Linked DNA regions of Mus musculus: all the other regions are reported to be linked to region 2. The links are microRNA targets in miRTarBase. Many come from high-throughput screens and were not tested one by one. Region 2 holds a microRNA gene; each other region holds the end of a gene's coding sequence.
The links. The annotated mature microRNA mmu-miR-149-5p reads UCUGGCUCCGUGUCUUCACUCCC and lies in region 2 at 1,268-1,290, shown strand. An mRNA with a match to its seed (bases 2 to 7 or 8) in the 3' UTR can be bound and repressed. Matches are read on the target gene's strand: a 7mer-m8 pairs with bases 2 to 8, a 7mer-A1 pairs with bases 2 to 7 and ends in A, and an 8mer does both.

Region 1: miRTarBase lists Atp2a2 as a target of mmu-miR-149-5p. Seed matches in the 3' UTR shown: 7mer-m8 at 3,137-3,143.
Region 3: miRTarBase lists Ttyh3 as a target of mmu-miR-149-5p. Seed matches in the 3' UTR shown: 7mer-m8 at 1,535-1,541, 7mer-m8 at 1,567-1,573, 7mer-m8 at 2,771-2,777 and 7mer-m8 at 3,157-3,163.
Region 4: the mRNA of Polr3f is a reported target of mmu-miR-149-5p. Seed matches in the 3' UTR shown: 7mer-A1 at 1,166-1,172, 7mer-A1 at 2,212-2,218 and 7mer-A1 at 3,329-3,335.
Region 5: the mRNA of Zfp280d is a reported target of mmu-miR-149-5p. The part of its 3' UTR that is shown has no 7-base or 8-base seed match.
Region 6: miRTarBase lists Vat1 as a target of mmu-miR-149-5p. Seed matches in the 3' UTR shown: 7mer-A1 at 1,365-1,371.
Region 7: miRTarBase lists Cbx5 as a target of mmu-miR-149-5p. Seed matches in the 3' UTR shown: 8mer at 1,868-1,875, 7mer-A1 at 2,301-2,307, 7mer-A1 at 2,835-2,841 and 7mer-A1 at 3,568-3,574.

Annotation. Positions count from the first base shown.
Region 1 is chr5:122,453,705-122,457,769 of GRCm38, forward strand. It overlaps Atp2a2 (ATPase, Ca++ transporting, cardiac muscle, slow twitch 2), which reads right to left. Exons shown (of 20, transcript NM_001110140.3): 19 at 3,808-3,925; 20 at 2,620-3,722. The coding sequence ends at 3,447. Among named protein-coding and RNA genes, the nearest start is that of Anapc7, 33 kb to the left of the region's middle.
Region 2 is chr1:92,849,114-92,853,178 of GRCm38, forward strand. It overlaps Mir149 (microRNA 149), which reads left to right and starts at 1,265; the gene lies at 1,265-1,330. All of the region lies in intron 1 of Gpc1 (glypican 1), which reads left to right.
Region 3 is chr5:140,619,886-140,623,950 of GRCm38, reverse strand. Ttyh3 (tweety family member 3) reads left to right here. Exons shown (of 14, transcript NM_175274.5): 14 at 420-3,374. The coding sequence ends at 494. Among named protein-coding and RNA genes, the nearest start is that of Lfng, 15 kb to the right of the region's middle.
Region 4 is chr2:144,538,268-144,542,332 of GRCm38, forward strand. Polr3f (polymerase (RNA) III (DNA directed) polypeptide F) reads left to right here. Exons shown (of 9, transcript NM_029763.3): 9 at 345-3,512. The coding sequence ends at 422. It overlaps Rbbp9 (retinoblastoma binding protein 9, serine hydrolase), which reads right to left. Exons shown (of 5, transcript NM_015754.2): 5 at 3,998-4,065. Among named protein-coding and RNA genes, the nearest start is that of Rbbp9, 11 kb to the right of the region's middle.
Region 5 is chr9:72,361,971-72,366,035 of GRCm38, reverse strand. Zfp280d (zinc finger protein 280D) reads right to left here. Exons shown (of 22, transcript NM_146224.5): 22 at 2,265-4,065. The coding sequence ends at 3,529. Among named protein-coding and RNA genes, the nearest start is that of Gm27230, 26 kb to the left of the region's middle.
Region 6 is chr11:101,456,499-101,460,563 of GRCm38, reverse strand. It overlaps Vat1 (vesicle amine transport 1), which reads left to right. Exons shown (of 6, transcript NM_012037.2): 5 at 1-187; 6 at 288-1,816. The coding sequence ends at 371. It overlaps Ifi35 (interferon-induced protein 35), which reads right to left. Exons shown (of 7, transcript NM_027320.4): 2 at 3,900-3,998; 3 at 3,227-3,374; 4 at 3,042-3,148; 5 at 2,758-2,944; 6 at 2,567-2,673; 7 at 1,863-2,363. The coding sequence ends at 2,172. Among named protein-coding and RNA genes, the nearest start is that of Vat1, 7.7 kb to the left of the region's middle.
Region 7 is chr15:103,195,857-103,199,909 of GRCm38, reverse strand. It overlaps Cbx5 (chromobox 5), which reads left to right. Exons shown (of 5, transcript NM_001076789.2): 5 at 119-4,053. The coding sequence ends at 269. Among named protein-coding and RNA genes, the nearest start is that of Smug1, 35 kb to the right of the region's middle.

The DNA of each region.
Region 1 (4,065 bases), not on the chromosome of region 2:
TCTACTGCTTCTGACTTCATTAAATAAGTTACAATAATACAGTGTGGAACAGCTGGCTGCACACCTAAACAACTGAAGTTAGGACTGGAGGCCTATGTTGTAACCATTCAGCAGCTGTAGTGTTTTAAATGAATTTATAAATAAGCAAACTGTACAGGGCCCATTAGAAAGCATGTTTCAATGTCACTGTAGAGCAATCTGGCCACTTACAACTGAAGGCATGCATTACAATTATCATACAGTTAGAGAGGCTATGACATTTTGCAGAGAAATGTGGAGACTTGGCTGATGGCTTCTGTTCTTGGATAAGGTTTCAGAACCTCCTTCTCGCAGCAAAGAAACCAACTTCTCTGGAGAGGCTCTCTGATTTGTTATGCTAAATTGTACATTTGTTATTATTTTGATTGAACAGCTAAAACCCCACTGGTAATACACATTTCCTCCACATCACACAGTGAGTTGGGGACTGTTTCTATTTTTCTTTTCCCCAACCTCAGTCATGCAGAGGGCTGGTAGATGTGTTGCTAACAACGCACATGCACGCACCCGAACACCCTTATATTTCTGCAAATGGTTTAGGAAGCGGTTACTCCAGTATTGCTGAAAAGGAAAGAGAGAGGAAATCAGCTTTTCGAAACGTAGAGCAATGTTAAGACACAACAACAGGGACAGACAGAAAGAACACTGCATTTGGTCTAGATGCAAAACCAGCATTTCTGACGGAGTGTTCCAAGTGCTTGCTGCCCAGGCACATCTAGAAGCAGTGGCTTGGTGACTGCCCTGGGCCGCCTCCTACCAAAGTTCCAGGAGGCAGAAACTAGAAGGCATGTCAGGTACAGGGCTGAGAGCCATGCAGAGGGTGAGGCAGGTGGAGCAGTGAGTGGCATGGCACCAGGGGAGAGGCCTTCCTGTCCCTCCCTGTTCTCTATGGCAGCCAGTCCTGGGCTACAGGCTCAGCTCTGCTTTGAAGGTTTCCCAATTGCAGGGGTCAGTCCTAATGGAGTTTGGCAGCTCACGACAAAGGGCAACCATGCTTTTTGGCTCTGCGGCTCTGCAGGCACCGAGCCAATGCTGCCATCTTAGATGTTCCTGAGGCCTGTGCCATTGTTGGGGCTGAGACCCTATTTTGAGGGTGCTGTGATAGCAGCTGCTGTGAGATGGCTAGCCTTCTCCAGCCTTAGTAGCCCTGCTAGCTCTCCGGGGAGGCCACCACCTGAATTTTGCTGAGTGGGCTGCAGGGTGGAACCTTTAGACAGCTTTGCTGAAGAGGCCATTCCGGGAAAGTTCAAGGCTGGGGTCCAGGCTAGACTGCCCTAGTGGGTTGAGCATGATGCTGACACAATAAATGCTGTCCCTTCTTGAGGGTGCTGGGTGAGAGCAGGGCTGAGGACATGCAGGAGGTGGCCTGTGGCTGGGACTGTGCTGTTGGCCTTGGTCTATGCGGGCCAGGGGAAGGTTTTGTCAGCCTTGCTTGTGGCTGGATGGGTCAAGTGTTAGTCTATCTGTTGGGGTTGAACAGGTCCCAGTAAGCAACACAGCACTCAGGGATGAGGTCCATTTCCTTTAGGGCCCACTCATTCGTAAACGGCACTGAACAGCATGGTGTTAGGGCCCAGCACGCTATCATTCTGATTTGGTCTTTAACTCAGCTGTACCTTTGTGTTTGGCCCACTCCATCAAAACCTGCCTGCTTCCTGAGAATCACTGCTCCCTGTAGCACACAGAGGCCTCCCCAAGGAAGGGTCAGTGCCAGGTTCCCTCAGAACCTGGCACTTTCTCCTGCAACTTAGGGAGGAGGTCGCAGTCTCCAGGCCTCTGCACACCAGAGGGTTGAGACATGTCCTGAAGGGTGACAAAAGCTGCCTATGCGGAGTCAGCTGGCTTTCCTAGTCTTCCTCAGCCACTGAAAACCCATAGCCTTGTGACATGGTTTGTGTCCAGTCTCAGTTTGGTACTAGAGGTGACACAGCTCCTTCAGCCTGAAGTCAGCCAGGTCCCAAGGCTCTCCTTCCCACAGCTCATAGGGATCGCTGTCCTGGTCAGTGTCTACACTAGGGTAGCCTGTGTAGTGAGTGGCTGCCTGGTGGACACAGGAGCCATGCAGCTCACTAGCAACAGGGGCCAGCTCATCAGTGGCACCACCTGTACACAGGCCACAGCACCCCAGTCCCACAGGGAAGATACTCACGTTAGTTGATGGATGTTGGAAGGCATTGGAGGAAAACACCACAGTTAGGACTGTTAATGACTCACACTGCCGTTAAGACTGACCTTGAACATGCGCAAACGTTCATCAGTCATGGTGGTGGTGGTTAGTGCCATAGTCAAATAAAAATATTTCTATACAATATGTTCATTTGGTCATGTGCTATTTACAGATTTTACAAAACATACACACACATAAACACACACTTGCCCTTACACCAACCTACATACAACGGGCCAGCAGAAACTTGAGTAATGTATATCACATGACAGATCGTGCCTATACATTATAAATAAAATCCTACTATGCGGCAGAACAGGACTCTTCTCAGAACAGGAAACTAAGGCTCTAAGCTGAGAAGCTCAGAAATTTGAACTGATTATACGTAATTCAAGGCCATTAAGAACAAGACAGTTATTTTTCTCTGTCCATTTAAAATGTTTTATTTTTCTTTTAAACTAGATTGTGAAGTGCCATTGAATAGGCAATGTTGGCAAAACAATGTCTGTTACAATAAAATACATTAGACATTTAAATAAATAACCTTAAAAACTAGGCGAAGGGACAGAAACCCAGTCGATTGGATCTGGAGCAATGTTTTCTGCACAAGCGAGACAGGCAAACCTCTCGTGAAGACGGATGTAAACAGAACCATCAGACCTACAGAAGAAGCCGAGCAGGCTGGGGTGGGCTGGGGGTGACAGAGGCTGAGGGTGCAGGAAGTGGCAAACCAAAAATACTGACTGAGGTAGCAGGACTCTGCTCAGTGCAGAAAAATTGGCTTATGAATAAAAATTAGACTGTGATACCAAATTAAATCCAGAGAATCATGCAAAAGACACAATACATGCTATTTAGTTTTTTTTCTTTTAAAAACCACACACATTCATTTCCTAAGTCTGCTGCCAATTAATTTGCTGACAATGTCTGCTGGCTCAACTATCTTTGTACAAGTATGAGTATTAAACAGAACACTGTACATGCTTTTTCATCTACAAAAAAATATCTGCATAAAATAGTGTTAGTTCTCTGTACACGTCAATGGACACTTTAATTATGTGTATAAAAAAAGGAAAATCTTGTCCCACTGGAGTCAGAAAAAGCAAAACAAAATCTAGATATGAAACCTCCTTCACCAGCCAATATGTTCATGTGAAAATTCAGCAGAAATAGACAGTTGCTTTAAACAATAAAAAATTAATTGATTAAGTTAAACATCTTCTGTATGTAGCGCTGTCAGTCAAGACCAGAACATATCGCTAAAGTTAGTGTCTGTGCTGTAGACCCAGACCACCAGGGGCATAATGAGCAGCACAAACGGCCAGGAAATGCCATCGGTGCATGCCGACAGGGAGCAGGAAGATTTGGTGGCAGGCTGCACACACTCTTTACCGGGTTGTTCCAGGTAGTTTCGGGCCACAAACTTGAGCGTCTCATCCATGAGGATCACAGGCAAGGAGATTTTCAGCACCATCAGCCACTGGGTCAGATTCAGCGGTGTGATCTGGAAAATGAGCTGAGACAAACAAGGCTGGGTCAAGCTTCTGGCCCTGCCTGAAAGGAACTACCCCAGACCCCGCCCGGGGTCCATCATGACTCACCGGCAAAGGTTCCACGTAGAGGATCAAGAAGTGAAGTGACATGGACAAGCAGATGGAGCCCACGAGCCAGATATTCTCCCAGGGGGGCATCCTCAGCAAAGACTGGTTTTCAGACAAGCTACAGGTGAGAAGAGAAGTGACCTCACCAGAGGCAAAGGCATGCGTCAGTGACACACAAGCAGGCAAGGGTTTAGTGATGCTACTGCCTGCTGACCTAACTAACTCTAAAGGCCTGCTTTCCCCAGTGCGGGGAGCTGG
Region 2 (4,065 bases):
GTTGGGGAACAGGAGCAAGCAATGGGAAAATGCCCCTGGAGCCTGGGCAGTGAGTAGTCCCCCAGAAAGCTGGGCCATTTGCTCCAGGCTGTCACGTCCTGGAGACTCTCAGCCTCTGGGGCTGGAAAACCCAGGAGCACAGAGGGCTGGTTTACTTCTAACCTACCAGTCAACAGAAAGGCCTGCTCTAGGAGCCAGCAGCTGGGGAGGGGAGTGTAGCCTGTGCCTCTCCCTTATCTGCGGTGCTGAGAGATTATACTCCGAATGCCCCTACACTCCCCCAAGCCGTGCCAGCTGGAGTGTTTTAGGGGCCGTGAGGGAAGTGGGCTTTCCACTCTGCATCTCCCCCGTGAGCACAGGAAGCTTCTAGAAGAATGGACCAGAGGCGGGGTAGCATGACTCTGCATTATCTTCAGAAGGTGGAGGGTTTCAAGGCATTGGGTCCCTGAAGTGTCAGGGGAGGTCAGGTCAGAGATGTCTGTGGGTAGCATCAGGATGCTGGACTCTGCTAAAGTCCTGGGGTGACTGTGGATGATGACCAAGAGGGATGCTGCCTCTGTGAGGGAGGAGCAGGAGCTGGAGCTGTCAGCAGGTGGCAGGAGGGTGTGACCCTGAAAGGTAGGAAGCCACAAGCTGCTGTCTGCTCTGGAGAATAGTGGGGGGCCGGGGGTGGGGTGCAAGCAGCCAGATTTGGGAGGAGGTAAATGAGCAGTTGCTGCCCATGGGTTTGCTGCAATGGGGTGCCATGCTAAGTGTCACAAGAAGCAGGGGTCTTGGAATTTGAGAGGCTTTGGGGTTGGGGACAAGGCTTAGAAAAGGGACTAAAGTGGGGAAAACCTGCCATTAACAAACAACCCCCTTCCCCAAATAAAACCTGTGAGTGCCAGGGGAGGGTAGTGCCCCCCAAAAACCCAGGAGGGAAAGATCTGGAAAAATGAAACCAACTCTGAGAGAGATGGGCGGGGTCAGTGGGGAACAATACTGCCGCTCCACTCCCACCCACCTTCAGGGCTGGCAAGGAGGAAGCTGCTGGTAGGGTAGAACGGAGAGACGTTCCTACGATGGGTATGTACTCCAGTGCTTTCCTGGAAGTGTAGAGAGCTTTGCAGAGCCTGCCTTAGCTGTTCTGATGTTGAGCACCTATGGTTCCAGTTGGGCTGGGTCTCAGCTCCTCTATCTTTGACCCTCAGCAAGCAGGTCTGCCAATGCATGGGCTTCTGGGCAGCCTGACCCAGCCTGCCCGGGGCCCTCAGGCCAGTGCCCAGGCTCTGGCTCCGTGTCTTCACTCCCGTGTTTGTCCGAGGAGGGAGGGAGGGACGGGGGCGGTGCTGGGGCAACTGGAACAGCGCAGGTCACCGGGCTGGCTGGGTGAGGTGGCCAGGCAGAGCCAGGGGGCTGCAGGGGAGGCCATTGGATGGGGTATGCTCATAGTAGCTGGCCAAAAGTCTCATGGGTCCCATTTATCCAGAACCTGCCGTGGAGTGGGGCGAGTTTCTGTTTCTGAGTGTGTGTCCTTAATTAACTTCTTCCTGTTTCAGCTTCGTTCTTCTGTCTATGTGGTGAGGGGTGGCAATTGGGACCACTAAGATGGAGAAGGATGTCAGAGGAGCAGAAACCATGGGAGGGGCCAGTAAGGCTGTGCCCACCTCTCTCTTGCCAGTGCTCTGTTGTGCAGCCTGGTCCTCAATATTTCCACCTAAAACCTTTGGCCTACACACACAGAGTGCCTCTGTCCCAGCTGAGCCCAGGATGGCCCCATCCTGATACCTGCAGCCTCCATCCCCATAGCTGTTTCCCCACTCACTGCTGAAGTCAGAGATGGGTCATCCTCTACAGTGCCCCCCATGATTCCTCCTCTAACAGAAAAACCCTTAAACCCCACCACTCAAAGAGAGAGATGTGGCATATCACCTCAGCCCAGCAGACCATGGCCCGGAGCAGAGCAAATAGAAGGCCCTGCTGGGCCCTGTACCTTGTTGTGCCTGTAGCCTGCTTGCGGGTGGATAATCTCTGCTTAGCCCTCCCTACTCTAGAAGGAAGGGAATCAATCAATGGATGCAGATCAAGTGGCAGGACCTAGGCTTGCAGCTCCCAGCTGTCTGGGCACCAACCCAGCCCTTTCTTGAGGTTGGGTGCTTAATAACATGTTGCTTCCCAGGACCTGCAGTCCCTGTGAAAGGCAGGTGCCCTGGGCAGGAGGAAGCAGTGTGGTAGGAGCAGAGGGTACCAGGTAGGGGAGTGGTGGGAGGGGCATTCCGTGTGCACCTCCCATCTCTGACTCCCTTTTCTCTTGACTCCCCCAAGCACCCTTGAATCAGAATACAATTCCTTCTGTTCTTCTACCAGCTGTCAGCCACTGCCCTGCTCTGTGGACCTTTGGGGACCCTGAAACCAGGTGGGACTCAGCCTGTGAGGCCAAAAGTCCCCAGGGTTCTGGGATGAAGCACAGCTCCCATGCCTTAGTAAGCAGGAGAAGGGCTAGGCCAGGCCCTCAACCTGAGACCTGGAAGAGCAGATCTGAAGGTTGCCCTACCTAGGGATGGAGGGGTGGCATCTGGGGATATATACCTTCCATGTCAGGTCAAAATCACAGAGGCTGTACACAGTTCCACTCTGCAATATGCACACACACACACACACACACACACACACACACACACACACCATCCAGCACACATAAATGCTTGTGCTTACTAAGTGCTAAAGACAAGGATGTGATCATGTAACAAGCTCTTAAGGGTGAATGCAACCTCAGAATCTCTCCTTAGTCAGAGATCTCCACTCCCAGTTGGCTTCAGGGGAGGGGGGTTCATAGAAATGGGGCCTAACACATAATGGCCTCATCCTGAGGTCACAGGTTCCTGCCCCCACATGCTTCTTGACAAGATGTCCACTCCCCTCTGGCTCAGTCCCCCACCTCTGATGGCAGCCTGCAGTATCACATCCTGGAGTTCTTCACATCCCACCTTTCCCATCAACCCGTCAGCAAGGATAAAGCCCAGGTACCAGCCCTGGCACCTACTCTGGGCTCTGGAAACTCTGCATTTCACTGGCTCCCCATAACATCAAAATCAGCATTCCTGCACGAGGGAAGCTTCTAGAATCCCTGCTGACCGCTCCCTCTTCTCAGACCTTTCACCTAAGGCTGGGCCACTGCCTCTGCCTTTTTGATCCACCCAGTCCCTTGTAGGGACTGTAGGGCTCTGTCTTTAGGCTCAGAGACAGCAGTGTGACCCTATGAGAAGGGAGTAGAACAGAGTGGGGTCAGGCATAGGCCCAGTCCTGAGTAGCTCAGCCCCCAACTGGGACAAAAGCCAGTCTCCAAGCCTCAGATTCCCTGTAAATTGGTGTCACTATAGCCTTAGCAGAAGGTTTCCTCTCCCATTGAGGTTTTCTTCTGATGCCAGGAGACTCTCAGGTGTGTGCTGTAAGGGCTCCATGGTAGACACTTTGAGGCCAATTGTAGGCCCAAAGCAACCCTCTGTCAGCAAGTGGCAGTTGATATTGTCCTGAATGGTACTGCTGCAGTGCCACCAAGGGCTGACAGGTCAGCTCACCAGCCCAGGATAGATGGCGGGGGAGGGAGTTTCAGCCAGAACACTATGGGGACTGGGAATGTGTCCAGCTAGTGGGAACCTCAGGCCAGGGTTGAGTGGCCTCTGTTTGGGACCCAGTGCCTGCGCAGAGCATGCTTTTCTTCACCCCAGAATGGTACCCAGGGCCCTTGCAGAATGCTGACACAGGCCCTGCAGAACATTCATGGGGCACTCCACTCTGCTGTCAGTCAGGTGGCCTCTGAGACTGGCCTGAGCTAAGAAGAGGCTGGATTTCTTCTTCCTCCCCCGGGCAGAGGCACCTGCCAGGCTCGAAAGCCTCTATCAGGTCCCCAACCTAAGTCGGGCAGCCTCTCCCTCTATGTGAGGGCTGAGCTGGCTCTCAGGGAGCCCTGCTAGGACTCTCATTGCATTCCTGAGATGCTGGACTATGTCACACAGTACTCGTAGTCTGAGGCTCAGCCCTCTGATAACTATGATAACCTGTGGTACCCCATCCCTGAATCTTAAT
Region 3 (4,065 bases), not on the chromosome of region 2:
GCAGAGGTATAGAGATGGGGTCCATGTGGCCTTCCTGTGCTCAGCGTGTGTGATGCATTCAGAGCCTTTGAGCTGAATTACTGGAGGTGGCAAAGATCTGACTGGGACTCTGAAAGTGATTTAGCGACAGAAGGGGACTGGGTGTCCTTCACTGGGAAGGGAACTTGCCTGGGTGATCCAGCCTCAGCTACAGAGGCTGACCTTTGTACTCTAGGTACCATCACTTCCCTAACCTGTACTCAGCCCTTGGTCCAGCCCTGGGCCAGTGGCCTCTTACCTTAGGATTCCGCCAACCATGCTCTCCCCAAGGGTCGGCTGTGGCTCACCCTACCAAGGACCACATCAAAGAGGCTGCTGGCTGCTCAGCCCCCACCTAGGAACTCACCTGACCCTGCTCCCTCCTTCCCTCTCTCCTCTAGTACACCTCCAGCATGAGAGCCAAATACCTCGCCACGAGCCAGCCTCGCCCCGACTCCAGCGGCAGCGGGCACTAGACCGCACACCGGCCAGCCATCTGCCCCCACGTGCCAATGCCCCACCCTTCCTATGCCAGCACCGCTGCTTCCGCCCTGCTGGACCTTCCACAAGCCACACCGGGCCAGCCCTAGGCACACCTGAAGGCCCCCCCGCTATACCCACCCTGCAGGAGGCATGGAGGTGCCCAGCATGAGCTCCGGGCCAGCCTGTGAAGTGAGGCTTCTGGGGTGCTCACCTGGACAGTCGCTGCCACCAGCAACCTGACCCTGCCTGCCTCCGTCTCCCCTGCCCTTCTGTCCTCTTGGGCTCCCTGAGCCCTGCTCTGTGCCGGGTGCTTCCACCCTGCCTGCGTTCCTTCTACAGGTGACCCTTCATGCTGCCCCTTGCACTCTGGGCGTCCCCCTCCCCACAGCTACAGCGAGCCTTTCCTGGTACTGCCCTACCGCCACACTCCTGAGAATCCCATCTCCATTCACAGGCAGGGGACCCTGTGCCTGGCGCCCACCTGCTCATCACCGAACGGCCCCTTCATACTCTCTGGTCTTTGCAACGTCCGGCGCCTGCCTTCCCTTAGCCACCTGGCTTACTTGGCTCTTCCTGTTGGTTCTGAGCTGCCTCTAGGGTGGGGCTCTTCTTACACCTCCTCCCCACATGACTCTTCCCTCAGTGCCCAGCCAGCCCTCCCCAGACAGCAGGTGCCAAGCTGAGCCCAGGTCACTCCCTGGCCTCTCAGTGCTGGCCACCTTCTTGGTGCCAAACCCTCTTTCCCATTCATTCCTGAAGAGTGGCAGCTTTGTCTTCCCCTTTGTTTTTGCACTGACCACACTTGTCATCTCCAGGGCAGTCTGGGACATAGGCGACGCAGGACACTGCCCACTTTCCTCTCGGTTTCATTCTCACCCAGGACAAGCGGCAGTGCCCTCTGGAGCCCAGCCTTGGGGGCTGGACCTGTGACGGCTGTGAATGTGCCCCCAGCCTCAGAAGGCCCCCCCCACCCCCCGCTGGGACTAACCACTAACCTCACTCTCAGCTGCCATGGGCACTCCTGGCTGACCCTGAGCCAGCAAGCGTGACCCTAAGTCTAGCCTGGAGCCAGGGCTAGAGTGGTCATTTCTTTGTGGGGTGCTGCCAGGGAGGGGCCAGACCCACAGGCTACTCAAAGGGCCTAGAGACCCCTCCCCAGGCAGGTGCTGCCCCAGGAGGAGCATGTCCTGGGGTCCGGGGACTGAAGTCCATGTGGCCTCAGCCCCCCACACCCAGAACACCGCTTGCCTAAGGTGCTTTTGGCTTTAGTGTGTGATGTTTGCTGTGCTTCTGGGCTGAATTAGCTTCCAAATCAGGACCTGGAGCCTCTACCCTGGCCCAGCCAGCCAGTGTGAGCTCTGGTCTGTGAGATGGGCAGCTACGGGCCAGTGGAGCAGCATGTGGTGGGAGGGGCAAGGCTGGGACCCAGTGGTTTACAGACCTGTGGCCCTCCTGGAGCAACCTGGCAGCTACGGATCCCAGAACCCCCTGGGCTTCAGCTCCCCCAGAGGGGAGAGGCTCCACGTTGCTTTCCTTCCCCAAAATCCCTTTCTTTGTGCTGGTGTCTGGGACCAAAAGGAGTGGGCAGAGGACTCGGAGGGCCTAGGGGTCCCAGTCGGGGCATCTGTAGCTCCTAAGCACGACAACATCAGTGCAGGGGACCCTGGCCTTGACTCCAACTGGCCTGGCGCCAGGAACCTCCAGGGCCAGAGCAGCCCAGCTGCAGCCAGCCTGCCCACTATGGGTATGTTCCTGGCCTAAGGTCCGGAGGGAGGTTTGGGGTATCCCTGCCTGGGTGCCTGGGTGTGCCCTGGGGCCTCTCAGAAGCACAAATGCTGCCCCCTGGCCGTGAGCAGGCCACAAGGTGAATGTATATAGCATGAGAGGCGGGCACTGCCCGGACGTGGCTGTGAACTTGTGCTGTCTCGGGAGTCCTGACCTTCTGTGCGTGAGTGCCCCCATCTGTGACGTTTCACTCACCGAGGCTGAAGAAAGGAAGCAGGGGAAATGAAAGCAGGGGTTTCTCGCCCTGACCCCTGCGGAGGAGACGGCTCCTACCACTGCGGTTGGCTTCATTTCGTTTTCCTGATTTCTGGGGTGCCACTTACCTACTCAATCCCAGTGGTCCACCCCCACATCCCCAGGGAGTGAGCAGTCCAGTGCCAGCTGCCTGTGATTGGTCCCCAGTCCCTATTACCCAAGGGGACCCTACAGCTCTGGTGGGTAACAAGGAGGGCTAAGCCACCAAACCAGAGCCCGATCCCTTGCCGAGCCAGGAGGAGGGATCTGGCTGAGAAAACTGATAGGACTGGAGGCCCCCACCCCAACCAACACTCTCTGGTTTATGTGAGTAGCAGAAGATCCCGGCCTGGAGCATCCTTCAAGCCCTTCTCCCTGTGCCCACCCCGCCCCCCCCCCCCCCCATATCACTATGCAATTCTTGACCCCAGCTCCAAAGCTTGCCCTACCCGGTCCCAGCTCTGTCCGGCCCAGAAGGTGGCTAGCTGGTGGGCCACAGGTGACCAGGGTCTCTTTGTTTTTCATCACAGCGGTGGTGTGCCGCACCCTTCCTCCCATATGTGATTTTGTGAGATTGCCTCCCAGTTACGGTCCCTCTGCCTGCATCTGCCCCCAGTGGACTATGTCATCTGAATCGAGCCAGCCCCAAGTTCCCCTCCAGCCTCTGTAGGGCCATGGCTGTGTGTTACTGTTGCTGTGCTTTCATTTTTTAAACTGGGTTTGGGGTTTGATTTTTATTTCTGTGGGGAACTTTATTTTTCTTGGCAAATAACTAAAGTTCTTGTCCATGTAATTTCTGTGGTCTCTATTCAGCTTGGGTTTCATGTTTTAAAATAAACAATTTTAAGAAACAGCTCTCTCTCTCTCTCTCTCTCTCTCTCTCTCTCTCTCTCTCTCTCTCTCTCTCTCATTCTCATCATGAACACTGTACACAGAGTAGCTCAGGCTAGGGACACAGGGTTGCTGAATGAGGTCTGTGGGAGCAATTGGCTGGGAAGGAGCCGTAGAGTGACACTATCTAGTATTCATTTCGACTGAATTGCTCTAGCTGCTGAGTCAGGAAGGGATGAAGGACGTATAGAAGCCAAGGACCAATCAGAAAGCTCTGTACTAAAGCATGGCTCCAGGGAGGGGCTGGGGCTGTGGCTCAGTGGTAGAGCCCCTGAGTGGTAGAGCCCTGCCTAGAATTCCCCAGGGAGGCTCTGGAGGCGTGGCTAAGTGGGAGAGCCCCTGCCTAGAATCCCCCAGTGATGGGCTAGAGTGTGGCTCAGTGGTCCTACCTAGAGGCCCCCAGTGAGGGAGCTGTATGTGAAAGCTGAAACAAGGTTCAAGGGAGGCGAGGGTCCAGCAGGAGGCACTGGTCCCCCCATCAGGAGAGTACTTGCCAGTCTGAATCCACAATGCCCAGAGGTTTATGTTGAGGAGGAAAGTGGATGGTAGTTCTGCTGAGAATGCTTGTGCTGGCACCTGCGGCTTGAGCCACACTGATAGGCAGCCCGAGACAGCACATGAGCCTTCTACTTGACTCCCTTATTGCATAAATCA
Region 4 (4,065 bases), not on the chromosome of region 2:
GAGGTGTATACCTTAGTCCCAGCATTTGGGAGGCAGAGGCAGTTGGATCTCTGAGTTTGAAGCCTGCCTTTTCTACATAGTGAATTCCATGACAGCCAGGATTACATAGTGAGACCCTGTCTTAAAAAGCAAAAACCAAGAGAACCAAGCAAACCAAAATATAAAAGCTTATAGTTAACCATGACCACAAAGTAGGCACTGTTACAGTATGCTCTTCAGTCCTTATCTGTTTCAAAGAATATTTTCTTTCTTTTTTTTCTTCATTTACTATTGCTTTAAATCAGTGGGGATCTGATATTTTAAAACTTGAATTTGAATAGACTTTTTATTTTTATTTTTTAAAGGTTTTTGAGGACTGCCATGAAGGTGGTGAGATTTCGCCGTCTAATTGTATTTACATGACAGAGTGGCTTGAATTTTAATGAGAGCTGTGCACTTTATCTACATTTGGCAAACTGAACTCCATGGAGAACAAACAATTCATGATGGAGTGTAAATTTCTTTGAAAGCATACTTCACAATAATGGATACTGACTTGCTGCTATGAAAACATTTATTTATGAAGACAGAACACAAAGCAGATTGAGTTTAATAAAGTTTAATTGGGAAGTCTCTTCTTCAGTAAGTAAAATACCTTGAAGGTCTGGAAGGCAAGGAAAAGAAGCCAGCAAGCCTATGTTGACCAAGTACTGAGATAAAGGCTGGAACGAGAAGATGTTCACTAGAGTTGCTTCATTGAAAACTCATCGGGGTTATTACCACCATTTGTTTGGTTGTTTTTGGGTTTTGTTGAGAAGAAATTACAAGTGGTGCAGACAGGAACAGCTGATGGCATGTGTGCCATCTTGGGGCCTGGGTAGTCAAGTGGGCATTCCTTTTTCATGCCATCTGTTGCTCTTCACCCCAGGACTCTTTCAGGGGAGTGTGCCTCCATACCGACCTCACTCCCAAATGCTGTTGTACAGGACGTGTTTCCACATCACTGTTATTCCATGCTAAAAGAAATAGTCTCACTGTTCCTTTTTTGTTAAGGCTATCACTTTTCTCTGTATGCCTTAATTGTATTATTTCCTGGGTTTTTTTCCAGATTCTCATTCCATGCCTGTAGTGTGACTCTCTCTACCACTAGTGCCAAATTCAAATTTTACAGTCTAAATTCCAGGACAGCCAGAGCTATATAGGGAGAGACCCAGTCTCACACATACAAATAAAAATAGAACATTGCCCTTCATTCAGTCTCTGAGGGTTGGTAACCAGTATTTAGCTGGTGCCCTTTTCTCTTATTCTTCAAAACACTGGTATGACATGTCTGAGCAGAAAGCCATCACTGTGTACTTTCTCAGTCCTGGCTGTTCGGCCCTGGAAAACATTAATTGGCGTGCTGTTGTACAGAAGGTAGCCTCTGAAGGATCTCAGCTCGTGGATTGTCTCTTTCTAAAGATTTATTTATCTGTAAGTACACTGTAGTTGTCTTCAGACACTCCAGAAGAGGGCGTCTGATTTCATTACAGATGGTTGCAAGCCACCATGTGGTTGCTGGGATTTGAACTTGGGACCTTCAGAAGAGCAGTCAGTGCTCTTAATCCCTGAGCCACCTCACCAGCACTCCCCTCCCCTTTTTGTTTTGAGACAGGGTTTCTCTATGTAGCTCTGACTGTCCTAGAACTCTGTAGACCAAACTCAGGGATCTGCCTGCCTCTACTGCCCAAGGACTATGATTAAAGATGCGATACCCGCACCTGGCTCTTTTTTCCATTTTTATCTCTCTTACATATTTAATTTTCTAGTAAGGTAAGACTAGTGCTTATTTGATAGGTCAGGCAGATCGGACATTGTTACCATGCCGCACCTCACAAGAGGTGGAGGGAAAAAAAACCCTGTGTTTTATATATAATCTAACACTTAAAATAGCTGGTGTCATTGAATGCTTACTCTTATAGAGCTGGCCATAGACTTCATCTGATAAAAGTGAACTAGTGAGTTTGATTTTACTCAGGTAACTAATGATGCTATTCACTTAGAGCACTGTCAGAAGGTGGTAGAACTCAGCTCCACAGAGGATCCCAGTGCAAACCCTTTAAGTTGGTCCATGCTTTTGGCTTATATAAAAAACTTAGTACGATCAAACAACCTTAGACACGAAGTAAGCTGAGTATAGTGGAAAGCCTTTAATCCCAGTACCCAGGAGGCAGAGGCAGGCAGATCTAGGACAGCCAGAGCTACATAAAGAAACCCTATCTTGAGGAACCAAATAACAATAAAAGAGAGAAGTTATCTTCTAGCCAGCCTGGTCTACAGAGTGAGTTCCAGGACAGCCAGGGCTACACAGAAAAACCCTGTCTCGAAAAAAAAGAAAAAAGTTGTTTTGGAAATCTGCTCCGCATTCTGTTTTGTTGTTAGAGATAAGAGCATCACTCCACACTGGCCTGGAATAAACTTGATGGCCCAGGCTGGCATTGAACTCAGTTATTCTGCTTTAGCTTTCCAAGTGCTGGGATTCCAGGCACGCATTTAGCAGCCGGGCCTGGCTTTGCATTGTCTTGATAATTAGATGAGTTTTTAAATCAGCACTCAGTGGTTAGAAATGTTCCTTGCCTCACCAGAATAAAGAGAGCTTAGATATTTTTCCTCAGCATTATTTTTTACTCTGAGTATTTTTGCCTTGTAATGTATTTTTTTACTGTATTAACTGAGAAGGATAGAGAAGTCTGAAAATGTAGCAACTGTTCTGTAAATAAAGTGGGAATAAGCTATCAAAAGAAATTGTGGGCCTCTAAAATCATAATGTCACAAAATCAAATTGCAGATGAAGCCCAGATTCTTCATACTCTCCCACTTAGTACTAGGCCTTTTGTTCACCTGAGCACACATACTACTAATCTGTTGAGGACCCCGTTTAAAAGTGATCCATAAAGAAGGGAGACATGAGGTGATTTAGTGGTTCTTAATGTGGATTCTCACATTAAACTTTGAATTTGGCAATAAATAAGTTTTAAATAAGGGTTTTGGTGGTAATTAAGCAAAGTAGTCATATCAATTCTGTGATGGACAGTGATCGAATACTCCTCGTACGATGAGGCCTCTGGCCCAACCATCAACCCAACAGTTAAGGGGGGAAAAGTAGTTTCAGATTTACTATCTGGTAGGTGAGAGATGAATACAAAATATGCGCCCTCTAGCAGTATGATCCAGTAAGACAGCATCTTGAACAGAATCCTGCCTCTATGTTGCTCCTGCAGGGTTTATAGGTATGTGCCACATCTGGACAAATAGCATTTTCTATCATGATGGAAATAGTCTTTATTTGGTGTTTAGTCCAGTAACCTTCAGCCAGATGGCTGGCCAGCACTTGACACAAATGATTAAGAGCTAAGTTTTTATTTAGTTGCCTGTGCATACTGTTTATATTAGACGGCACAGCTCAACAGAGAGCTCTCTTGCATACTCTCCCCCTGGGAATTATTGAAACTCACACTGAAATGTGTTAGTTTATAATTAAGATTTTTAACGTTAGGAAAAAAAAATAAGTGTTTTCATTGTGTGTGTGTGTGTATGTGTATGTAACAGGCTTTTTAGCGGTGATTCAGTCAAGCCTACAATCCAATTTGAGTCTACTTGAATTTGAAATTAGTAATTATTTACTCTGCTCTTTTGAATTCTTAAATTAACATACAAATGTTTGCTATTTGTTTTCTGCAGGATAAAATATATTCATTTGATATATATAACTTTCTGTTTCTGGTATTATTCATTCCCATGTGAACACTTAGAGTACACCTATATATATGTTTGTCGTCCTATCCTCCAAATATACTTATGTTAAAAGTTAAAGTCATCCCTGACTTTAGAAATCCCCAAATCATTTTAGGCTAACACAACAGCTTTGTACCCCTTCTAGGATAAAAGTGTGGGGGATCACATTTCTGCATCTGTCACGGGTTCTGAGTCATCAAGTTTAAGTACACTAGAGATCTTTGGCACCACAGCAGTCAGAAGATACTAGGAAATAAACATTTTTTATTATATCTTTTTACATTTGGTCAAAGTACTTTATAAACCAGTGGA
Region 5 (4,065 bases), not on the chromosome of region 2:
CCTTATCAGGCATCAATGGGAGGGGAGGCCCTTGGTCCTGTGAAGGCTTGATGTCCCAGTGTAGAGGAATGCTAGGGCAGTAAGGTGGGAGTGGGTGGGTGAGAACCCTCAAAGCAGGGTAAGGGGGATGGGATAGGAAGTTTGCTGAGGGGAAACAGGATATTTGAAATGTAAACAAATAAAATATCCAATTAAAAATATATACTTTTTATAAAGTAAAAAAAAAAAGAAATCTTTGATTCCATATGTATAACTACTGTGAAATGATAAATGAAACTGTACTTACTCACCAATAAGAGTTATCTGACAAAAAGCTTTTTTCTTTCTTTTTTTTTTTCGAGACAGGGTTTCTCTGTGTAGCCCTGGCTGTCCTAGAACTCACTCTGTAGACTAGGCTGGCCTCAAACTCAGAAATCCGCCTGCCTCTGCTTCCCAAGTGCTGGGATTAGGGGTGTGCACCACCACCGCCTGGTTGACAAAAAGCTTTTTCATAAGAGAATATTTAGTGCTAGAAATTGTAATTGTAGGTGTAGTAGAAACGCCAGCTTCAGAACAAAGCCAAGTTAGGCTCGAGTCCTGGCATTGTATCCTATGCAGTGACTGGTGGGTATTGTTTTCTTCACTTTTGTGTGTACAGCCAAGGTGTGTGTGTGTGGCGTGCGCACACACACACACACACATTTATATATATATTCAGGGTTTTTTTTTTGATAATGTTTAGGATAATTCTTTAAATATTCATGGGATGAGAATTGGAGAGATGGCTCAGCAAGAAGAGGGCTTGCTGTATAAGCCTGGTGACCTGAGTTTACCCCAGGAACCCACATAAAGGTAGAGAATTTATTCCAGAGTTTTCCCCTGACTTCCACATACCCCCTACCACATGCACACACCTCCAGTCCTACATCACACACACAATTTTTTTTTTAAAATTCATAGGATGAAAAAACCTTACAAGGTCTTCCTTAAAACATTGAAAGGATGCAAAAGAGAATGACCTAAGGAAAAAAGTATTCAGTTTTAATATAAATTAAAAAGAAAACCCCACAAAGCAGTATGATGCTTTTTTTTTTTTTTTTAATTTTTTTTGGTTTTTCGAGACAGGGTTTCTCTGTGTAGCCCTGGCTGTCCTGGAACTCACTTTGTAGACCAGGCTGGCCTCGAACTCAGAAATCTGCCTACCTCTGCATCCCCAGTGCTGGGATTAAAGGTGTGCACCACCACGCCCGGCCAGTATGATGCTTCTTAATGTCTTTAAAGTGTTGTACCTGCAAGGCACCTTGTATGTTCAAGTGACATTAAGGTCACTTGAGTACATCCTAGCCTTTACCCAAACTCAAAGTAGGTATATGTAACCCTATGGCCCCCATGTACCCAGCATGCTGCTTTGTAAATAGTTACACAAACAGCCTCAGTAGTTACATATTCCCCACCGCTGTTTTCATGCTACAAACCACATAGACCTCAGTTTCACTGCGGACATGCTTGCTTCTAGACTGCTCACTACTATTCAAAGGCTGATTTTGTATCTGAATTTGTATCTGAATTGTTAGTTCCCGACTACTCAGGAGGAAGTATGAGGACTTCCTCATAGCAGAAGAAGGTACAGCACGTAAGCTGCTAAGCACAAGGCTTCTTTCATTGTCCTCTATCCCCTACTACTTCATTTTCTGGGTGAACAGCTAAGAGTCCAACACCAGCTCCTTCTCACACAGGGCACTCATCAGTGACTTTGAATATGGCTATTGGGTAGAGATGAAACTCTACAAAGCTCAAGGAATTAGATGCTTTGGAGACTTATTTTGATCTAAGGGTTTTGTACACGAATTTTATAGTATAGAAAAACAGGTTTGACAAGAAACTGAATGCTATTAAGTGGTCCTCATATAGGTGAACTATTTTCTATGCCTGGGCTCGAAAGTTTTATAATATTGCAAATTACTTTCCTGTGGTGGATTTGTGTTACAACTTGTATTGGAAGCAGGAAAGATGAAAAAAAACCAGCTCTCTTTAAATGTTCAAGAAAACAATTATGTGTTTTTCCTACTCAACCTCTTTAAATTGATAAGGAAAATAAATGTACAATACTATTCTTTCTCTTAATGTGAAAGAATTACTGTGTAAGTATTAGCAGTGTGTCCCTTGTGTTTTCAGTTCAGTCTGTTAGTAAAGCACACAGAATGGAGCTTATAGTGTACAAGAACTACTGCCTACAATGCACACGACAGCAACAAAGACAGGCTAGCCAAACAGGAATCTGAATATAAAATTATTCAAAGACAGGTTTTTATTGCAAATATCTGCTCAAAAACTACTATATACAACAGAATTTTAACAGGCCTTGAAAACGTTTAACATTCAATTAGACAGTTTAAGAATTCAAAGTACATCTTAAGAATTAAAAATGCAGCATTTAAAATAAAATTTTATTAGTACTTAAAATGAAATTGTTTGTTATATTCATTTCTATATCTAAAAATCAACTTAATAGCTGATAAATTAGGCTAATTTCCACAAACTTTTTTTTTTTTGTTTTTAAACATATGCTTTAGGGTCCCATTTGAAGTTTCAACTTTTACAATTAAGGAAGTCCCTTAACATAGTTGAGTACATGCGGAGGCATGTTTTTAGGTCAATTCTTTTTGCCTACATTCTACCATACTTTGGTTTGGTTTCCAGACCATTTTTATGGGTCTATTGCTAAAAATCATTGAAATAATATTAAAAGCATAGTAGCTATTTAAGAGCTTCAATAACAGATTTCTACTTTATACAACTAGTTCATGGGGGCTGAGGTGGGGTTCTGCACAGCTTATACACTGACTAAAAGCACAAATATAAACTTATATTTTCATAATTTCACTTTCACTGAAAGTTTAATAAAGGTAAGCTGACAGCCTGGCAGGCTAACACTTGTATGGAGGTGCACAGATTCTAAAATTCTGTTTGCATGCTTCTGACAGATTGGAATGTTATATTAAATCCAAACTTAATTTTTATATTCATCCAAGTTCTCAACAGGCCAATTTAGCACTCTAAGCATGCTTTATCACCAGGATCATAGTAAAAACAAAGTCTTCATTAACAGTAACAGTTGATAGGCAGTTTAAAGGTATTTTTAAAAAATGCATGGTTTTAAATCTCTTCCTTTAAGTTTACTAAAAGAAATATTCAGGTGATGAGGACTTTTAGTACTAATGAAAGTTGGAAAAGTCTGATGAACATAGCAATTAGTATTATAATAATTTCATATTGGTAAACAAGATTTTATCAAAAAGTGCTAAGAGACCTTTGGATGACAAACTTAGTTTTCACTAAAGTTCTATTCAGGTTTTTTTAAATGTGGAAATTCATACTAACCATGCTATTACTGGTAAACTGATTTAATAAGATTGAACACACAGGTGAAGTGTATGACAGACCTCCTCAGATCTCCCTCGGCTGCCCTTTACCACGGCACTCCTGAGCTCACCAGACACTATTGTTCTAAGTGCTGTTGGGAATGAAACTTGAAATGACTATGTCACTTCAGCTTCTTTCCTCTCCATCTGCCAGGTCTACTGCTGTCTCTGCTCTACAAGGGTTACTTCCTCCAGGACTGCCACCTGTTTGATCAGATACCGTGTCACTGGTGTTAGCTGAAGGATCATCACCGTCGTGGAGGATCTCTGTGGCTTCATACTCAAGTACTTCTGATGGCGTCAAAGGTTCCAAACGAACACTGCCTGGGTCACTAGCATCAGAATTCACAGATTTAGGTTCATCTCCTTGCCTCAGAAATTGATCAATGCCAACATCCCCTGATGTTAACTGCAAACCTTGACGAGTCTCTGAAGACAGTTCAGCTTCAGTGGGATTTGTGCTTTCTGAACTCTGGTCCACCTTCAGCTCCATTTCCTGACAAGCATGATGTGTTTTTTCTTCCTTTTCCATAGTATCTGTTCCAACATCTGGATCATGACTCAAGATGTTCTTTGAGCTGCTTACATTTTCTGTATCTGAAACCGTTACATCTTTTTCACAGTGTGTTGCTGCTGCAGCTTCACATACACTTGCATCACACCC
Region 6 (4,065 bases), not on the chromosome of region 2:
CTGGTGGAATCAGTTCAGTGTGACAGCTCTGCAGCTGCTGCAGGCCAACCGAGCTGTGTGTGGCTTCCACCTGGGCTACCTGGATGGAGAGGTGGAACTCGTCAATAGCGTGGTCACCCGCCTCGTGGCTCTGTACAATCAGGGCCACATCAAACCTCGAATTGACTCAGTCTGGCCCTTCGAGAAGGTGAGCTTGAGGACCCAGGGGCAGATGGTTCCTGTCGTCTTTAGCCGGGCTCTGTAAGTGGGGCGGACAGCATCAGGGACGGTCTTCTCTTTCTCTCCAGGTGGCAGATGCAATGAAACAGATGCAGGAGAAGAAGAACATAGGCAAAGTCCTCCTGGTTCCTGGGCCTGAGAAGGAGACCTAGGGCCAGAGGGCTGAGGGCCCTGGAGAGCCGGGGAGGGAGAAGATGGGAAGTCCTGTCGTGTTGCCCACCAGCCTCTCACATTTCATCCTGTCACGATGCTCTACCCTCCCTCCCTCCCCCAGAGAAGGTCTCTGCTGATGACTGCTTCCCTGCTCTGAGCTCGCTCTTGCCCTTCGCTCAGGGCTCTCCCTCCCCCCCACCCCTTCCTGCCCTCAGGAGAGGTTGGGAAGTGACCACTTGGATGTCTGGGCCCTGCCAAGGGGACAGGGGGGGTCAGCAGGAGGCTGGCTGCTTCCTGCCCTCCCCCCTCTCCCTGGGCCTACCATGCTGCTTTTGTGCCAAGGTTAGCCAATCCCTCCCTGCCCTATCCTGTGTGCTTCCACCTCAGCCTCATCCTCCCTCCTGCCCCACCCCCACCCAAAGAATCTATGCGTCAGCTCAGGACGTGGGGCCGATCTGTGTGAGTCCAGCATGTACCTGTGTCCCCCGTAGTATCCCCGCAGCCCAGGCCGACGAGGCCCACCCCTGGACTTGATCAGTATTCAACCTTGTCTCCTGTCCCCAATGTCGTAAGCACAATTAGACTTCTTCCGGCTTGAGTTTGCTGCCTCCTACAGCAAGGACAGGAATCAGACCGACTCCCTAGCTTACGCTCTGGGAGGGGTACTGGGTACCCCACCCTTCACTGAGGCCTTTGGATTTGTCTCAGTGCCTTAGCATCTGAAAACCTGTGCTTGTATATGTGTGTGTATGTGTAGGGGCAGCCCCTATCTCTGGCTCCTTTTCCACCCTTCTCCCCAGTGCCTTCCTCGTCCTGGTGGAGCTGAGGCCTACTCCTCCCCAGTCCAACACTGCCAAAAATCTGTGTATGTGCCAGGGGTCGGGGGTCTGGGGGTAGGGGACAGCTCCAGCCTCTGGGGACCAATTGCTTTTACTGTGGTCTGTGGCCTGTCCTGTCTCTGTCAGTGGAGAAGAAAGGCAGTGAGCTGGATCAGCCAGAGTTCTGGGAGACAACGCTGGGTCTTATTCTGGGACCAAAGTGAGAATTCAAGCACATTTCTTTCCTTTGCTATGTAGGGAGGCTGCTGCCTTCCCAGAGCCTGGAGGCAGCTCTGCTGTTCAGCCCCAAACTTTGTTTACACTGCTAGGGAAGGAGGAGCTCCGGCAAGGGAATAACTAGGCTGGTTAAAAGAGTCAGGGCTACTGGAGCCAAGGTGGGGACCTTTGAGGCTAGGTGGGGGTCACCTGCTGCTTCTGAGCTTGGATTAGAGAAAGCTCTTAACTCCAGCCACTGTCAGAGGGAGTGTGGAGGGAGGGACCCGGCCTCTCTGTTGTCAAATTGAGGCCTCCATGTGGGAAGTGTGATTTCTGCTTTTGTGTCCCATCCCCACCCCACCCCATTACCACAGCTGCCTTTGTGTCTGTGTCAATAAAAAGCCAAACCCTGAGTCCTGACCAGATGTTGTATCTGAGAGTTGCTGGAGAATGGGTGGTAGTGATGCGCACCTTTAATCTCAGCAGTTGGAGGCAGAGACAGGCAGCTTGGAGTTACAGGCCAGCCTGGTCTACAGAGGGAACGTCTGGAATATACAGAGAAATCTAGTCTCAAATGAAAGAGAGAGAGAGAGCGCGCGCGTGCACGAGCGAGCCATGGGAAAGCCAGTGTCAAGGTCTGCGTTCTGCCCTCTCTCTCAGCTATCTTGAAGTAAAGAAGACCATCACACCAGGTTGGCACTTTGACCGTTCTTGGTAGCATTAGGCAGTAAGTGATCCTAGTCCCCAGCAGGTGGACATGCAGGCCTAGCTTGACTCGGAAGTGAAGATAGCCAGGCCCTGCTGCCCTGAAGGCACAACTGTCAGGGCCTCCACCTCCCCGCCCCCACGAGTGGGCTTCTGGAAGTGGATCTCAAGGATGTCATGCAGTTCCTGGGCATCCATGACATCAGGAATATTTGTCACCAGCACTGAATGAGGGGCTTGCTGGAATTTGATCTAGAAAAAGAGACAGGAAATGAATGAATTGCAAGGGTTCATGGGAATGCAGGGCAGTGGCGAGCAGAGGCTGGAACAAGGACCATCCCACAAAAAACATGGGATGGGTCTGGAAGCTCAGGCTCCTGTGTAGGCTGGAGAGGCTGGGGGGCCCTGAGCTCTCCCCGACAAGGAGACGCTTCCCCAGCCCCACCTTCACGTACCTCGGCTTTCTGGATCTCACCACTCACATAGGGAGAGACCCTCAGGAGGACCTGCTGCCGGTCCAGTGGGACTCTGAACTGGCCAATCTGGCATAAGTGCTGGGCCACTGTGAGAGACAGGGAAGGGTGGCCTTGAAGGCTTCTCGAGTCTCGTGCACCCTGGCCCCCTACCTCTTCTGTAGGACCCTTACCTTCTTCATCAGCAAACCCTAGCATGACGGTCCCTTGCAGCATCTCCCGGGTCTCTACATCCCCACCTCCATTCTTGGCCTTGCCAAAGAAGATCTCCAGCTTGTCCAACAGTTCCTCTTCACTCAGCCTAAGTCCAGCAGGAAAACCACTAACGAGCACCCTGTGGTTATCTGGCTGGCTGGACACCTAGCAGGAGACAGGGCAGGCTCAGCTGACCCACTCATCCATAGGACCCAAATGCTGAATCCCACCTGTTGCATGGAGGACCCTGCCACTCTGTCACCTGAATGTTGGTCACCACAGGCAGCTCCAAGGGCTGGACCTGCACCCGCAGCCGGCAGTCCTCTAAGTTAACTCTGTGTTCCTTTTGTTGTAGCAACCGATCAACCACTGTGGGTGGAGAGACAGGGTCACTATTAGGAAACCTTATGGCCTCCCCTCGGAGCCTCCCCACACACCAAGGCTAACCTTTGGGGTCCTCAAAGGTGACCAGAGCAGAACCTTCAGGCAGAGGGCAGCAGACCTTCAAGTTAGAAACTACAAACTTGGGCACTTGCCTGCCCTGCTTAGTTTGGCCTTGGAATACCAGAGGAACTTCAGGTACTGAGAATGGGATCTGGAGGTTGGGAGAGGAAGGTACGTAACAACCTTGAGAAGTAGGAGAGGTCCCTACCACTCCCTTCTGGGCAGAATGTGTCCCCTGATTCTGTTTGATTGATGTGCAGTGCAGAAAGCCTTCATAGAAGAGCTGGATTGTGTGGGTACAGGCACGACACACCAGCCAGTTTTCATACAAGCTCTCGTCCTCATGCAAGCCTGGGAGGTAGGTAACTTCACCTCACAGATGAGAAAACTGAGAGCAAAGAGATCAAACAATGTTCTTGAGCTCACATAGCAAGAAAATAAGTAATTAAATATATCCATGTGCGTGTGCATGTGTGTGTGTGTATCTCCAGGTACCCGTCCAGGCCAGGAGAGGGTGTTGTTTCTCCTGCAACTAGAGTTACAGGTAGTTATGAGCTGCCCCATGTAGGGGCCAGGAATTGAACCTATGTCCTCTGCCAGAGCTGTAAAGTGTTCACCACTGAGCCATCTCTTCAATCCCTTTCTACCACCAGGAACACCTCAGTTCCCACCTGACCTTGGCTCCGGGAGAGCCTGTGCGCTCCCTTTTGAGCTGCTGCAGCTCCTGCAGCCTCATCTTGAGCCTGGCTTGCTCCTCCTGAAGACTGTAGAGGACCTGTTGGAGCAGAATAAGAAGATAACCATCAGCCTTTCTAGAACCTGGAGGAGGGAGCGGGGGCTGG
Region 7 (4,053 bases), not on the chromosome of region 2:
ACCTCCAGCCCTGTAAAGACCCTTTCTACTTTGAGATCGAACCAGCTAACCTCAGACAGTGACACTGACAGATTGCCTCAGTTTCATGTCTCCTAAGTCTTACACCCTTTCTTTCCAGGAAAGACACAGATGAAGCTGACCTGGTTCTTGCAAAAGAAGCTAACGTGAAGTGTCCACAGATTGTGATAGCATTTTATGAAGAGAGACTGACGTGGCACGCATATCCAGAGGATGCGGAAAACAAAGAAAAAGAAAGCGCGAAGAGCTAAAGGAGGAGGCAGTCTCTGTCGTTTCTCTTTGTATATAATACCTTTACTTTCCTGCCTCCTCTCTCTCCTCCCACCCCTTTCCATCCTAAACGCATCCATAAACCACTGCGCTCATCACTGTGCTCCACGGGGGAGATGCTGGTATTGGTTCTCCTGTAATATAACTGATGATCTGATTCCTAAGTGTAGCTCTGTGAACGTCAGGCATTACGTCATTCACATGCTGTGTGGTTCCCATAGTGTTCTCTTTCACCCTGATCTTTTCCTTCTGTTCCCCTGTAACTTTTTAATCACCTTAGAGTCATGATCTTTGGGGTTGGTTGCTTTGGGAGATTTTATTATGACGATGACTTCAGTTTCTTGATTGTTATTAGATTATATTGATGACCAGCTGGCCTTTGTTTTGACATACTGGCATAGAAAGGATATTGTCCATCTATTTAGAAAACTATTAAGGGCAACCTACCTGTTGTGTCTTTTCCGATCTCATTTAGCTCTGCCAGGAGAATACAGGGTCCCTGGTGTGGTCTTGGGCCGCTCCTGACTATCCTCACATACCCTCCCATAACAATTCAGTTCTCTTAGGGCTTGAAACTTCACATTTAAATCTGTCAAGGCGCTCTGTTTAGCCCTCACACTTTCTTGGCCTTGTTACTTTCAATCCCTGATTCTGCTTCTGTAAAGTGGTATCAATTTGTTATTAAATGACAAGATTAACTGTGGAGTCTGTAAGCTGTAGTGCAGGAAGATAATAGGATGGGGCTGGATACAGTTATCACGTGGTGTGTGTGTATTCTTTCCTTTATCCCTCATATTTAGACTGTATTTATGTAGGTGTGAGTGATTGCCTGGTGCTTGCTTGTGCCAAGGTGCTGGGCACCCTCTAACCCTGCCAATTTTTATGGCCTCCCAAAGCATTCCTGTACCAAAGAGGCATCAGCAGATCCATGCCATTCCCTTCCGTGCCATTATTTTAAGTTGGGAATTTTTGGAGAGGAGCCACTAGCCACAGTGTCACTGGCTTTTACGTCCTTGCAGCAGTGATGCTCTTTAATTTACTGCCTCATGGCTTGTGGATTTGCCACCAAGTCCTCAGAGGATTAATGTTCCTGTCCTCTCCACTTGAGTCTGAGGATTTTTAGTTGTAGCTTATTTTAAAAACATAGAAGATTATGGCCTCAGAAACCGACAGGTCTTGATATTAACTTTTTGACACAACCTTCTCTCACAACAAACTACTTCCTTTTTGGTTTACTCTTGCTTTGCTATTATTTCTGCTCCTATTCTACTTTTTGTCCCCTGAAAAATGCCCATCTTCTCTTCATTTCTTTCTTCTTGTATAGTTGAGGAAGCTGGAGAATCAGGACTAAAAGTAAGGAAATAACAGAGTTTGGAGCTGAGCAGTCTTGTCCCAGCTCCAACGCTGAGGAAAAAGAATAAACGCTGAAGTAGCCTTAATTCCAGACTTCGTCAGCTACTGAGCTGCTTTTGTTGTTGCGTTTGATTTTTTTAAAGCAAAGCTGTCTGGGCCAGAGCATCTAGCCACCGGGTTGTTGATAGTAATGAGAGGAATGGATGGAGTGCTTCAGTCCACAGATGAGCCAGATAATATGCAAACCCTAGACCCATTCACAGCATTTGTTAACACTGCTTTCCTGCTCAGCTGCTACTTGAGTTCTGTGTTCTTGAATAAATTATGCCAACAATTATACTGCACCGTTGAGAAGGCAGCTTGTACTGCAGTGACATGGTAGACAGACAGTGAAGCTTTGCCTTACTTAAGTCAGCCAGGAACAACTTGTGAATGGTAATGTGGTGGGAGAATAGCACCTAACCCATACCTCACATGGGTGAGCTTTTTCTCTCTGTAGTCCGTAGTTGTCTGAAGATGTTAGAGGCAATATCAAATGCTGGATAAGTGACCGATGTCTGTACTTAACTTGATGAAATGAAGGATGGTTAGAGAGCAGATCTGTCCTTCAGGCAACCAAGGCTAGTAGTAATTAGGGCAGATGAAAATAGCACAGAAGTAGCCAGAGCTCCTGAGGATCTTGACTGGCAACTAGAGGAAAGGACCACCCACTGAGTAGTCAGGAGTAGTGGGCATGTACATTGCAGTGACCATATTTTTTAAAGCAAAATCTTAGCCTTTGGGCAACCATAACAATGATATTTAGTCCTATATAATATAAACCATAATAATGAGATTAGTCCTAAGAAGTCTGGCCTGGTGACAAAAAAGTACACAGTCCCAGACTGATACAGGGGTACTGTATGTTCAAGGCCTGTTTGGGAACTTAGTGAGACCCTGACTCAAGATAAAAAATAAAAGGACCGAGGATACAGTCTGAGAGTTAATGCCTTGTAATGCAAAAAATGAAGGGAAAAAGTGTCCTGCTGGTTTTAATGCTCTTTGTAATTTTTTTCTCTTAAAAGTTCATGGAGTATTGGTTTTCTGTTAACTATTACCAAAACATCCTTGTTTTCTTCTTAGTACTTTTCCTGGTTATATATAGAAATAGGGAACCGGGATTCTAGTATTATCTTCAACACTCAGTGTAAAGAAGCCAGACACCCATCTGTGCCTCCAGCATGTGTTGTGCCAAGTAGCTTGTTTCTGCTGGAGAATTGCAGCCTTGGACAGAAGTGTTTCCTAGAGCTATCTTCCCTCTAAAGAGTTCACAACCAAAGGTGAAATACTCCTAAACACTTGACTATATTCTCCTGTGTTAATCCTCTTTCAAAACTAATTTTGTGGTACTGGGACTTGAGCTTAGACATGCCAGGCAAGTGCTGTGCCACTGAACTGATGTCTTTTTCTGCCCCTTCCCCGCCATACACCATTTTATTGTTGTTCTAAAGACTTAGTCTCTGATACCAGGCTAGCCTCAACTTGCTGTATAGACAAGTTGAAAAGAATTTTTTTTTTCATCTGTAGCAGTCTTCAGACATACCAGAAGAGGGCATTGAATCTCATTACAGATGGTTGTGAGCCACCATGTGGTTTCTGGGAATTGAACTGGGGGCCTTTAGAAGAGCAGTCAATGCTCTTAACTGCTGTGCCATCTCTCCAGCCCTGCCAAGCTGAATTCTTGATCTCTTGCCTCTATCTCCCAGTCTCTAGGATTGTAAGTGTTTGTCACCATATCTGGCTCCTTCTTTTGTAGAGACTGGACCTTCAAAATTACCTATGTTAGCCAGGTATAGTGTAATACACCTTTAATTACAGCATCTAGGAGGCAGAAGTAGACCAATCTTAATTAGAGGCCAGTCTGGTCTATATAGTGAGTTCTAGGCCAGCCAGACCAGTATAGATTCTGTTGCGAAAGGAAAAAAAGAAAAGATTGGCCTTGAACTTAGGATCTGTTTGTATCAGTTTTGTGCCACTATACCTGGCTCAAAATCTTTTTTTTTTTAATTAAGTTATTGTGTATATGGGATTTCTGCCTGCATGTATATCTGTGCACCATATGCATGCCTGGTTCCCTAGGAGACCAGAAGAGGGTCTTATATCCTCTGGGATAGGAGTGAGCTGCTATGTGAGTATTGAGAATCAAATCCTGGTCCTCTGGAAGAGTGGGTGCCACCTCCCACCCTTCAAAACATCTTTTTAATGTTGAATTTTTTTCTTTTTTTTCTCCCCCGCCCCGCCCCCCTTTTCTGTTTAATCCTGGCTGTTTCTTGCCGGCTTCACCCTTTAATGCTCAAGTTTTGCTAGCTTTACACGAAAGCAGAGGTGAACTGGGTGATCCATCAACATTATACACTGTGCTGTTCACATTTC